Oryzias latipes: one gene and its partner. The protein of the gene in region 1 purifies or fractionates together with the protein of each later gene. This does not show direct contact. Links are inferred from orthologs where the notes say so. Each region holds a gene or a part of one and is shown in the gene's direction. Other genes may lie near its edges.

Region 1 (5,219 bases):
TTGCTCCGGGTGAACACCGTTCCTCTGAAAACGATGCGAGAAAGAGCGTTTTTGTCTTTCATCAGAGCCTTCCATGAAGATGGGAATGGAGCAGAAGAGGCAGCCTACTAGAACACAAACTTCTACGCTGCTGTTGGTCAGCGGCGTGAAAATGTTCACAAAGACAAAGAGCACTAGCATCAACGCTACCTTAAAAACAGCCCTTCAAAGGAGAAACCAAACCTCTGTGGGATGACGTGGTCCCGTCTGTTCACCTCCAGGCTGCTGCATTCTGGGTCAATTTAAGATCCTGGGGTTCTAACAGGAAGTGTTTTACAGGAAGTTCCCACTTCCCTGTAATACAGGAATGACATGGCTTTGAGTGAAACTCACAGCTGGAAAAATTGGAGAAACCAAAGGAAGGAGCATGTGCAGCTTCTCTGCTGAATGAGGTCTTTATGGCCCCACATCTATGGGATGTTCAGGTGCAACATCAGGAGGGGGTTTGGAGACCACCACGGTCACGTCAGAGAAAGACGCTGCGCCACAGCCTTCAGCCGTCCGTCAGTCGATCCCACCGAGGACTGATGGACGGAGTCAAGGGTGATCTGCAGCTCAGAAGAATCTGGAAGGTCCAGCATCAGAAGATCAGATCCTCCGTGTGCAGCGGAGACTCAGTCTGGGTTCTGGATCCTAAACCAGTGAGATCCAACAGATCCCGTCAAGAACCAATAAGTGATTCAATCATCAATCATCTTCTTTCTGAATCTTTAGGACTGAAATGTATTGATTGTTATGTTAATGTTGTTTTTTACTTTAAAAAGGATCTATCTAGTATAAATATCATCAATATGTTTAAACTGATGGTTTACTTTATTTGCACTTGTTTGAAATGGTAGATTTACAGGATTAACCAAAGTTACTCAGACTTCAGAGGAGGCTGGTCTTTCCTGAAGTTCATCTGTGTGGTTTTTGGTTTTCTCATGTTGTTGATGGTTTTATAATTACGATCAGCATCGGCTCTTCAATTCAAACTATTTATTCTTAAATAAATGGGTTTAACTGAACGCATTTGAACATTTTAGCATCTTGACGTCCAGGTTTTTATGAACTTAAAGTAAATCATCCACCAAACGTTTCAACATTTAAAAAGAAGCTGAAAGATTTGAAAAGCTTTTCCTGTTTGTTCATAAAGAGCATCGGTAGTAGAAGCAGGAAGGGGCTGAACGTTAACACGTCTGAGCGGTTGAAGCAGCTGAGGACGTTCAGATTTACGGTGCAGAAGAGGGTTTTCCCGCCTCCAGCTGACGGACAGGGGGGGGGCACGCCAACCAGCCGGCCGGCCGATCGGTGCTTTCCTGAAGCGGTTTTTCTCTCCTGGTGTCCTTGTGGGGATCTCCAGGTTCATCTGGAAAGCAGAAGGTCACAGCTGCATGTTCACGCGTTCAAGAGGGAGGGGGGGGGTCCCACTTCCCATCCCGGTTTGGAATTACCCCCCCTCCCTTCCTTTCCCAGCCTGTTCTCCGGGTATTCCCTCTCTCTGCTCAGACCCCCAGCGCCTCACTTCATGCCACCATGACACACTTTGCGGCCGCGGCGCCGTGCGTGTGCGCCATCGGCGGCCTCATCAGAGGCCTGAGGAGCAGACTCAAGTCGCTGCGGCGGCTGTTGCTCACCCGCCGCCGTCCTCGCCCGACCCGGAGCTTCAGAGGAGAGCCCTTCCACAATCCTGGGCTGGAGAGCTGGAAGCCTGTGGGCTCCTTCCTGAGCCGTCATGCAGCAGACCCCCCCTGTGCGGCTGTGAGTACTCACTGGGACCCCCCCAGCCCCCTGCATGTTTGAGGGTCCCCCCCCCGCCTCTGACAGCTCACAGCGGCAGAGGTTCAGCTGTCAGCCGGGCTGTGGTTCACGCTGCCCTTCAGACAGATGAGCGTGTCGCCGAGGTTTAGTCTGCTCGTGAGTGACAGTCACAGGGCTCGCCGCCGTGCACGTGTGTGATTGGCATCAGGTCACGGCGCGCTTATCCTCTCCTGCACTGGCGTGTGCCGCCGTCAGACCTTTGTTCCACGTAAAGATAACAGTTTGGACGGCTGCAGTCAGACCCGTTCCAAGTCCTCCCGGAGTGTCGGAGGACTCCAGCTCCAGCTTTTTCACGGATCAGCTGTCACTCTCAACAATAATAAGGTCATCGTCTCCGCTTCCCAGCAGCTGTTGTTGCGTAAGATGAAGGTGGAAGCACGAAAACATCCTGAGGCCTCGTGAGTTGGTGATGAACTCAGGTGAACATGTGGTTGAAACCGGATTTTTAGCGTTTCCTGCAGGATGTTTGCTGCATCTGTCACTTCAAACCGATGCGGGTTACTCTCTCCTATGGCTTCATTTTCAGAAACGGTCGTACTTCTTCATGTCCTCTGCATCTGGGGATGGAATAGAATAGAATAGAATGCTTTACTGGCAGCCGTCGTCTTAATGTGCATCTGGAGACACAAAGGTGTGGGGTGTGGTGTGTTTAGGAGCCTGATGGTTCTTGGACAGCAACTGTTTTCACGGCTGTGTGGGATCTATGGTCTATGATGGCAACAGTCTGAATAAGTGATGACCAGGGTGAGATCAGTCGGTCAGGACTTTTCTTGGCTCCCCTGAGGCGGCGTGAGCTGGAGATGTGCTCCAGGGGGGGCAGAGGGCAACCGATGACCTTCTCGGCCGTCCTGGTCACCCTCTGCAGGGCCATCTTGTTGGTGGGACTGTCCCAGGGGCAGAAGATAAATGAGAACAGGTTGGTTTGGGCGTTCTCTCCTGAGAACCAAAGACTGACCGTCTGAGGCACTATTGCCTGAAACGAGCTCCGACCAGGACTGGAGCAGAAAAGCTGCTCGTCCACTCCATGTTGACCCGGCAGACATGCTTCCTGCTCCTTCAGATCCATGCTGTGGGCATGCACACCAGAGTTCACCTGCAAGTCAACAGAGATCCTCATTCTGAAGAGGACCACGGTTCTCCTGTTTGGTCCGGATGAAAGTTATCACCCGACCTTTTTGGCTCCAAAAGGGATTCTTTTATTTTGTTGCTTTCTCTCTGTTTGGACTTTTTATGCATTAAAAAAAAGTTTTAAGTTCACAAGAAGACTTTAAGATGAGATCAAAGCAAAAAAAAAAACTTTCAAATGGAGAGAAGTCAGAATGTTTATGTTGTATTCCTTTTATTTGATGTTAATTATAAAATGCTGAGGAAGGTTTTTTCGTGGAGGTTCTGTGTCCTCCAGCTGTTTTATTAGATGTATGTATTTCCAAAAGCATCCATCATTTCTGTGACATTTTAACGTTTAACTGTAGGACTCTAAATAAACACAGAGTGCAGGAAGTTTTTCCAGCGTGAGCATAAATGTGAAGGCTGAGCGGATGAGTGACGATGCTGAAGGTCAGGAATGATGAAGCTGCTTTAGTCTGGAGTTGTTCTTATCCAAAGTGTGAACATTATCAAAACCATGCTGGACTGCATGTGAAGAAGCTAAACGTCGTCTGAACTGGAATGATACTTGCAGCTGCGAGTTTGTAGGATCTCTGCAGGATTTGAAGGTTTTCGCTTTTACTTTTTAAAGAGTGAGAAAAAAAACCTAAAGACCAGTAAGAAAAAAACTGACAGCTTTCAGAGGAAAACAGCCTGGCACAGGTGAAAGGGTGAGCTCTGCAGCGGTTGTTGTGTAACGTCCTTCTCTGGATCCCTCGTCTCCATAAGCGCTATGAGTTCTGGATGCACAGACTGGCAGAAGTGGTCCTGAAGGCCCCCTCCCTGCAGGCTCGGACCTGAGGGGGGGGAAGCAGGGTTTGTGTCAAGCGTCTGCTGCTCATAACTGCATTACACCGCTCTCTGGGAGGCTCTAACTCGATCTGAGGAGGTTTGCAGGAGCGCTCTAACCCGCTGATGTCCACTTCTGCCCGTCCCAACACGGTGATGAAAACCTGCATCGCTTCATGGGACCAGTTCAGGAGCAGGAAGCATTGAAATGCTTCAAAAACTCACTGAAACCTACTGTGACAGAAGGACAAAGAAGGTGCAGCAAACGGAGGAAAAAGGAAAACATGCACAAATACCCTTTTCTGATAAAGTGACTATAAGACAGAAAATACGTCTGAATTTCCCGCCGACTCCAGAACTACTGAAAATTGAACAAACATGAACATTACACAAAGACTTTTTATGAATCAACTGTGTTCTGATGACAAAACCTGCATAGTTTAGACAAAGAAACACACAGAAATACATGTTTTTTTCTCACAACTATTGTTTCAATGCAATGCATTATGGTCTATATTCGCCAATCTAGTGAGCATCTATGCACACTGGTTTTTCGCAGAGACTTCTGGGAAATTTCCAGGCACTGGATTTTGGAATTGTAGATTCAGACAGCAGTAGAAAATGGTGAGCACTCTGTATAGTGAACTAAGTAGTGAGTAGTGAAGGAATTTAGACCCAACCAGAGGCTCAGTGTACTGAGGGCAACACTCCACCTTCGTTATTAGCCATCAACATGAGGAGACGCTCTGATGTTGATGACTATGACACATCAGTAAATCCAAATACCAAAGGCTGTCACTATGACCCGAGTTCAAACTCAAGTCCTTCAGAATCTCAGCATCAACACCACTTATTCTCCCTGTGTGGAACCACACGTACACTACATGTTGAGCTATTTCTTCCGTAGTCCTTTGAATGAGTGGGAGCAGCAACACAAACTGTTGTGGCGCCAGAACAACATCAACACAGCTCCCTGAATTTAAAGGGAGGAGTTCCCGTTTGGTCTCTAATAATGGCTTTCTCTCCCTGATTTTGATGTCAGTGAGTTAAAAATAAAGCAGCATGTCTACATTTTCACGGCACATTTGGAATTCTTTGAGTGTGGTGAGATCAGATAAGCCGTTCGGAATGAGGAGGAAGAGTTTTAGTTGTTTTTGTTTGGCGGCTCCTGCGTGATTTGGTTTTTAAAAAGGCTTCCCACGTGGAAGCAGGAGGACGCTCTGATTACTGTTGAACTTCCAACAGAGTATTCATCATTTCATACAAATAAAAAACATGCAGCACTAGAGCCGTCCCCCTGTGAGACCTGAACCTCTGACCGGGACCAACAAAGCTAGGACCTGGTCTTTCTCCTGATCACAATACTCTCTGTCCAACCCTTATGTAGTCCATAGACTACAAAAACTCTCTCCTGAGAAAGTAAACAGACTCTGGTTTGAAGAAAA
Region 2 (5,219 bases), on another chromosome or scaffold:
GTTTTTTTCCAGCAGGAGGCCTGAATGGTGGAAAATAAATCGGCTAATTGTAAAAAGGACTGCAAGAAAAGTGCTGCACAGAAAGGGGAAGCTGCAGGCGGCCGATTTGTGCTTCTCCTTGAAAAATGTGTTTGAGTTTGTGGCCTCATCTCTGTCAGCCCTCATTCCCAAGCAAGCAAACAGTCAGCTGCACTGTTAACGGAGGGTTTTCCTGCAGAAGGAAGAGACAAAAACACCTACAACCGCCTATTCACTGTCCAAGCCTCCGCCTCAGAGAAAGGCTTGTTAGTGCCTCTTTTCAGCATGAATGGAAGCATTTCCCTCCTCTTGTTTAAGAAAAGAGAACTTGAGCAGTGAAAAGAAGACAAAGATAAAAAGTCTGTGGAGATTAGAGCCCCCCCCCCCGCCTCCCGGGTGTCTCTGTCAGAGGACTTGAACGCCTGAAGTGATGGGAGAGACAGCCGGGCTGTGGTTGGCGTTGATGTGGGGGCGCCTTCACTTTCCTTTGGGGAACTCAATTTACTGCAGACTCTTTCCAAATGAACAGACTTTCAGATTTTTTCCTTTTGCTAAATTCTTTCAAACTTTCAAACTTAAAATAAAACTTCAGGAAATGGCTCACAGAGCGGTTGTTCCACGAAACGTTTCTTCAGGGGAAGGTCCGGTCACATCTGATCCTTATCCCTTGTGCTATCCTAGGTACTATAACATTGGGAGTTGGGTCATCTAGACCCACTAGACAGTGCTCTGAACCTTTTTTCTTCAATGATTTGTGATCTTCACTGGTGTCCATGGATTACATGAAATCTTTCCACCTTTATCCACCTTTGTCATGGTAGGGAGAACACGTCAATGTAAGGGTGGGGTCATCTAAGACAGCACAAGGGCTAAGAGGATCTGTGATTTCACTACAAGCTCTTAGAGATATTGATTTTTTATGAATTTATAATGTTTTGAAGGAACTTTTACTGGAGAACACGTTTATAAAAAATGGGTGAGACTCTCAGGATATCTGCCTTTTTACCAAAAGTGAAGGATGTTCTGTCACTTTAAAATGTGACACTGCAGCAAGAGGACAGCTGTGCAGCTTGCTTTTTTCTAAAGGTTACACCTTAAGTTCATTCATTCATTCATCTTCTAATCCGTTTGTCCCTTTCGGGGTCACAGGGCTGCTGGAGCCTATCTCGGCCCCTTGTGGGCGAAAGCAGGGGACACCCCTGACCGGTCGCCAGTCTGTCGCAGTTTATTAAGTTTATTCTCAAAATAATTAAGTGAAAATAAATAAATAAATAAACCTCTGAAACATTTTAACTAAAAATAAAACAACAGTAAAATCAAGTCCTGTTGTTTGTTCCTCCAGGATCCAAAGAAACCTTATTGATGATCATTTCACATGCAAACTTTTGGACAACTGTACGGAAACCATTGGCTGTGATTGGCTCTTCGTCGTGTCTCTTTCCTCCTGAAACTTTTCTCACATTGATGTCAGAAATGTGAGAAATTCCTATTTCGGGTCACATAACACCACCGCGCCAAACCTTCATTTCTTCTTCGTGTGTTGGATTCCCGCTGAAATGTGACTTTCATCATCCAGATCTGATCTGACAGACTTTCCCAAAAAAACTGCTCCATGTTTTCCCGCCGCGGTCATCATCCAGAGAGAAAATCTTGAATCAGCTCCAGGACGGTTGGCGCGCGCAGCACATGAGTTTGCTGCAGTCGCGCGTTGGCCGCTGGGCGGCGCTGTTCTGGAGGGCGCGCGCGTTAGACCCATTAATGGGAGCGAGCTGCGCGCACGCGGGCAGGTCTGCAGCCTGATGGGCGGAGGGGAGGCCGGGCTCGAAGGCGCTGCAGCCAGGGAGCAGCTCAAATTACGCTCGGAGTGGTTGTGAGTGGGTGGAGAGGAGGTGCAGGGGGAAGGAGGAGGGGGGATGACACCCACCGGAGGGAAGGAGGAAGGCGGTGTACGGAGACGCAAGAAGGAGAAAAAGCGACCAAACCTGACAAAGCGGCTGAAGGCAGAGCGGAGTCTGTCGGTGGAAGAGACGCATGAGACGCCGCTCGCGCCGCAGGAGCACGCGCGCTGATGGATTTTAGGACGCCGCGCCCCGGACAGCTTTGCCCTCGCGCTCCACCAGCTTCACTACAGCCCCACGAACTTTGTGTTTAGCTGACAAGTGCGCCGCGAGAGCGGTGGGGATGTTTGCGCTCTAGCAGGAGGAACTCGGTGACGGGAGAAAAGTTTTGAGGGGGGACGGGGGGGACGGCGCAATGGTTACCGAGCTGTTTTCCAAGGATAACTGACGCGCGTAAAGTCGGATTTGTTTTTGGAGACAGTGGACCACGCAGCCAGACGGCTTTGGAATATTCTTGCGCGTCGATGCTGATTGTGGAATAACAAACGAAGAACAGGCTCCCAGATTGTTCCCGCTGTGTGGAGTTGGAGACATTCCTGTCTGTGGATTCAGCTCACGCTCACTGACTCAGTCCTTATCTGTGCCAAAACACAGATCATCGCGATTCCAGGCTCCCTGGTAAGTTCTTTTTTTCGGTTTACGGAAAACAGAGCTGGGAAAAAGCAGTCGCTTCTGTTTGTGTTTTTATAAACAACAATTTCATAAGCTTCCCTCTGCAGTTTGGGCTTTTCTTCACCTGAGTTATTACGTAATTTGGTGGAAGTTCTCAAGTTTTTGCTTCCTCTTTTATCCTAAATCAAATGTTAGAAAGGAAAAAGCAGCAAAGTGTCCGCCTGTTTACTTGAAGCGCGCACCAAACCCTCATCAACTGTCCTGGTTATTTATTACTTTGCTTCATTTTCTACATTGCATTTATGGTGCCAATTAGCGCGTGACCGCAGTTGTTTTTTCGCGGCTCGTTGCGGAGCCCTAAATCCCCGAACGGCTCCAAACGAGCTCTTTTGTGCAGAAAGCCAACTGTTTTGAATGTCAAAAGGAATTCAGGCAGCGCCAAAACATTTCATTCAAAGCGTGGCTTTAAATGAAGGCTTCGGTGGCGCACGGCGCAAAGTCCCACGTCACGTTTCTGCACTAACTTCTGCGCTCTGATGCTCGTTCCTGGGATTTTTGTAACATTGCTTCTTTTTCCTCCTTAAATGAGCTGAAAATCATTTGTCATTTTTTTCTTTTGCTGGTTTAATCAACTGGATTCTTAAAAAACGGATCTTTTGAACTTAAATGTTTTTCGTCCTGCAGAAAGATTCCGGACAGACAGCAGTAATGAGGCGGATTTTTGCTCTGATGACTTAGTTTATTTCTGCCTCACATGATGTTGGAGCGACTCCGAGCTGAATTGAGAGGTTAAAACGATGCATTTTCCCAAAACACACCCGAAGAAGTTCTGAATCTGCATCAGCATCAGGTGCGCCGCAGCGCCTGTGGCCCCCGGGGGGGCTTTAGGGTAAACAGCTTGTGTAGGTTTTGTCTTCGCCCTTTAAAAGTCAAACCACAAATGCCTTTGCGCGTAAAGACAATCGATACGTCCAGCTGGAGCAGAAGAAGCGCAGAGAAGCGTGACTTCAGCTAACCTCCAGAGGCCTGTCAGCCGCGCGTGTGTGCGGCGCGCGCGCGCCGTCCATATGTGTCTTCAGAGCCCCGGTACTCGGTTAAAGCCCGTAATCAGATCGCAGTGATGTAATAAAAAGGCTTTTAGGGACGCAGCGCATATAGGTTTGGCCCATAGGTTGCGCAGGAAAAGCGCGGTGACCTTTTCTGTCTCCCCGGCCCATCATATGAGGGAAGGTGGGCTGAGCTGCAACAGGTCATCTTATCAGAGCTTCTCTAGATCTGATTCTGTGAGTTGAATCAACTCCTGGAGTCGGATCTTCCAGCTTTGGCAGCTGCAGTTTGAAGCAAACAGGTTTGACGCACCGAGAGCTCCAATAAAATGACTCTGCCCTGTTTTTCGACAATATTGCCCAGCATGTGATTAGAACCGAGTGTCTGCAGCTCTGGTATGTCTGTGGCATGGCTTGTTTGACAGCTTTTCAGCTCCGAGCTGCTCCCTCTGCTGCATTTAAGGAAGGCAAAGAAAATCTTTGCTAAATCAGTTCTGGAGGATTCATTTCAGCTGACCCTCTTCTCCTCTTTTCTCACTTTTTCCTTCACCCCTCTTCCTCAACTCCAGCCTTTTCTCCTCCCCTTTTTCAATCCAGGTGATTGGTGTGAATTCCAGTGAGTGACCGGCCGACCGGGCAGCAGTTGATGGTTGGGCGGACCCCCTCAGATGGGATCAGTGTCCAGGGGGAGGTGGAAGAGGGGGGCATGGGGAGTGTCATCCCTCACTAACAGGATGGCCTGGCTGCTGGCCGCCATCCTGCTGTCCCTCCTGACCGTGGGCCTGGCCCGGCCGCCACTCACCGCTGCCAGGGAGGAGGCCACTTTGGAACCCGAAGGTGAGCGGCAAGAATCTGTTGGATGGGGGGGGGGGGGTGTCTTACATTATACTTAAATTATACCAAATAGTTAACAGCTAAAATAGTTAAAATTCTGTTTATGAAATATAAAACAGGACTGTGCCTTTTTGTCAGCAAATTTAGAATATATTTACTGTAACGTTTTCTGATTCAAAGTTGAAATTTTCCTTCTTTAAAAACAGATTTCATCAAAGTTCCTGTAAAACATTTTTTATGGTCTGCATTTGATAAAACTTGAAAGTTTGGGTGTGGAGGTTTAAACAAATAAACTAATGAAGTTCAGCATCAGGAGCTGCAGGTTTCCTCAGCTGGAGGTGGAGACGTCTTTACTGCTGTCTGGGCCGTCTGCAGTGTGTTTGTGCGCTAAAGCCGGGTTGGTGGTTCTGGGGGGCGCCATGACCCGTGATGGGGAGGAGTTTATGCTGACAAGAGAGACATGAGGAGGAGTGAAGAAAATCAGAACTGTGCTTCTTTTCAGACTTTTTCAGAAAATGCTTAAAGCATTTTTTTCCTCCAAAGAGATCTCCTCTCTGCTGCTTCGGCCCGGTTCCTGCAGCTCCGATGAGGAGGTGCCTGAGCTCTCCTCTGTTGTTTAATGTCAGACAGTTTGGCTCCAGACTGCAGCTCCTCGCGCTCCACAGTCTTCCAGAGCGGCACGCTCCTTTTTGAAACTTCTAAGAGGATTTGTGCGTATCTGACTTCTCCTTTAGGTGCAGAGATTAAAGAACTGAGCAGCTGTAGAGTCATGTGACTATAGATCAAGTGTGTGGGGGTCACATGATGGAGA

The links. Proteins that work in one complex are often made in the same cells at the same time.
Region 2: the proteins of ribosomal protein S6 kinase alpha-3 (region 1) and fgfr2 purify together in Homo sapiens (affinity purification with mass spectrometry; 3 studies listed by BioGRID and IntAct, counting the BioPlex papers as one, with this or other methods). This does not show direct contact. The link is inferred for Oryzias latipes from reciprocal best matches to the Homo sapiens genes RPS6KA3 and FGFR2.

The regions. Positions count from the first base shown.
Region 1 is NC_019878.2:2,773,591-2,778,809, reverse strand, and holds the start of ribosomal protein S6 kinase alpha-3, read left to right. Parts: upstream 1-1,539; 5' UTR 1,540-1,554; coding exon 1,555-1,779; intron 1,780-5,219. UniProt on the Homo sapiens protein: Serine/threonine-protein kinase that acts downstream of ERK (MAPK1/ERK2 and MAPK3/ERK1) signaling and mediates mitogenic and stress-induced activation of the transcription factors CREB1, ETV1/ER81 and NR4A1/NUR77, regulates translation through RPS6 and EIF4B phosphorylation, and mediates cellular proliferation, survival, and differentiation by modulating mTOR signaling and repressing pro-apoptotic function of BAD and DAPK1.
Region 2 is NC_019873.2:29,203,510-29,208,728, forward strand, and holds the start of fgfr2 (fibroblast growth factor receptor 2), read left to right. Parts: upstream 1-1,971; 5' UTR 1,972-2,534; intron 2,535-4,143; 5' UTR 4,144-4,242; coding exon 4,243-4,411; intron 4,412-5,219. UniProt on the Homo sapiens protein: Tyrosine-protein kinase that acts as a cell-surface receptor for fibroblast growth factors and plays an essential role in the regulation of cell proliferation, differentiation, migration and apoptosis, and in the regulation of embryonic development.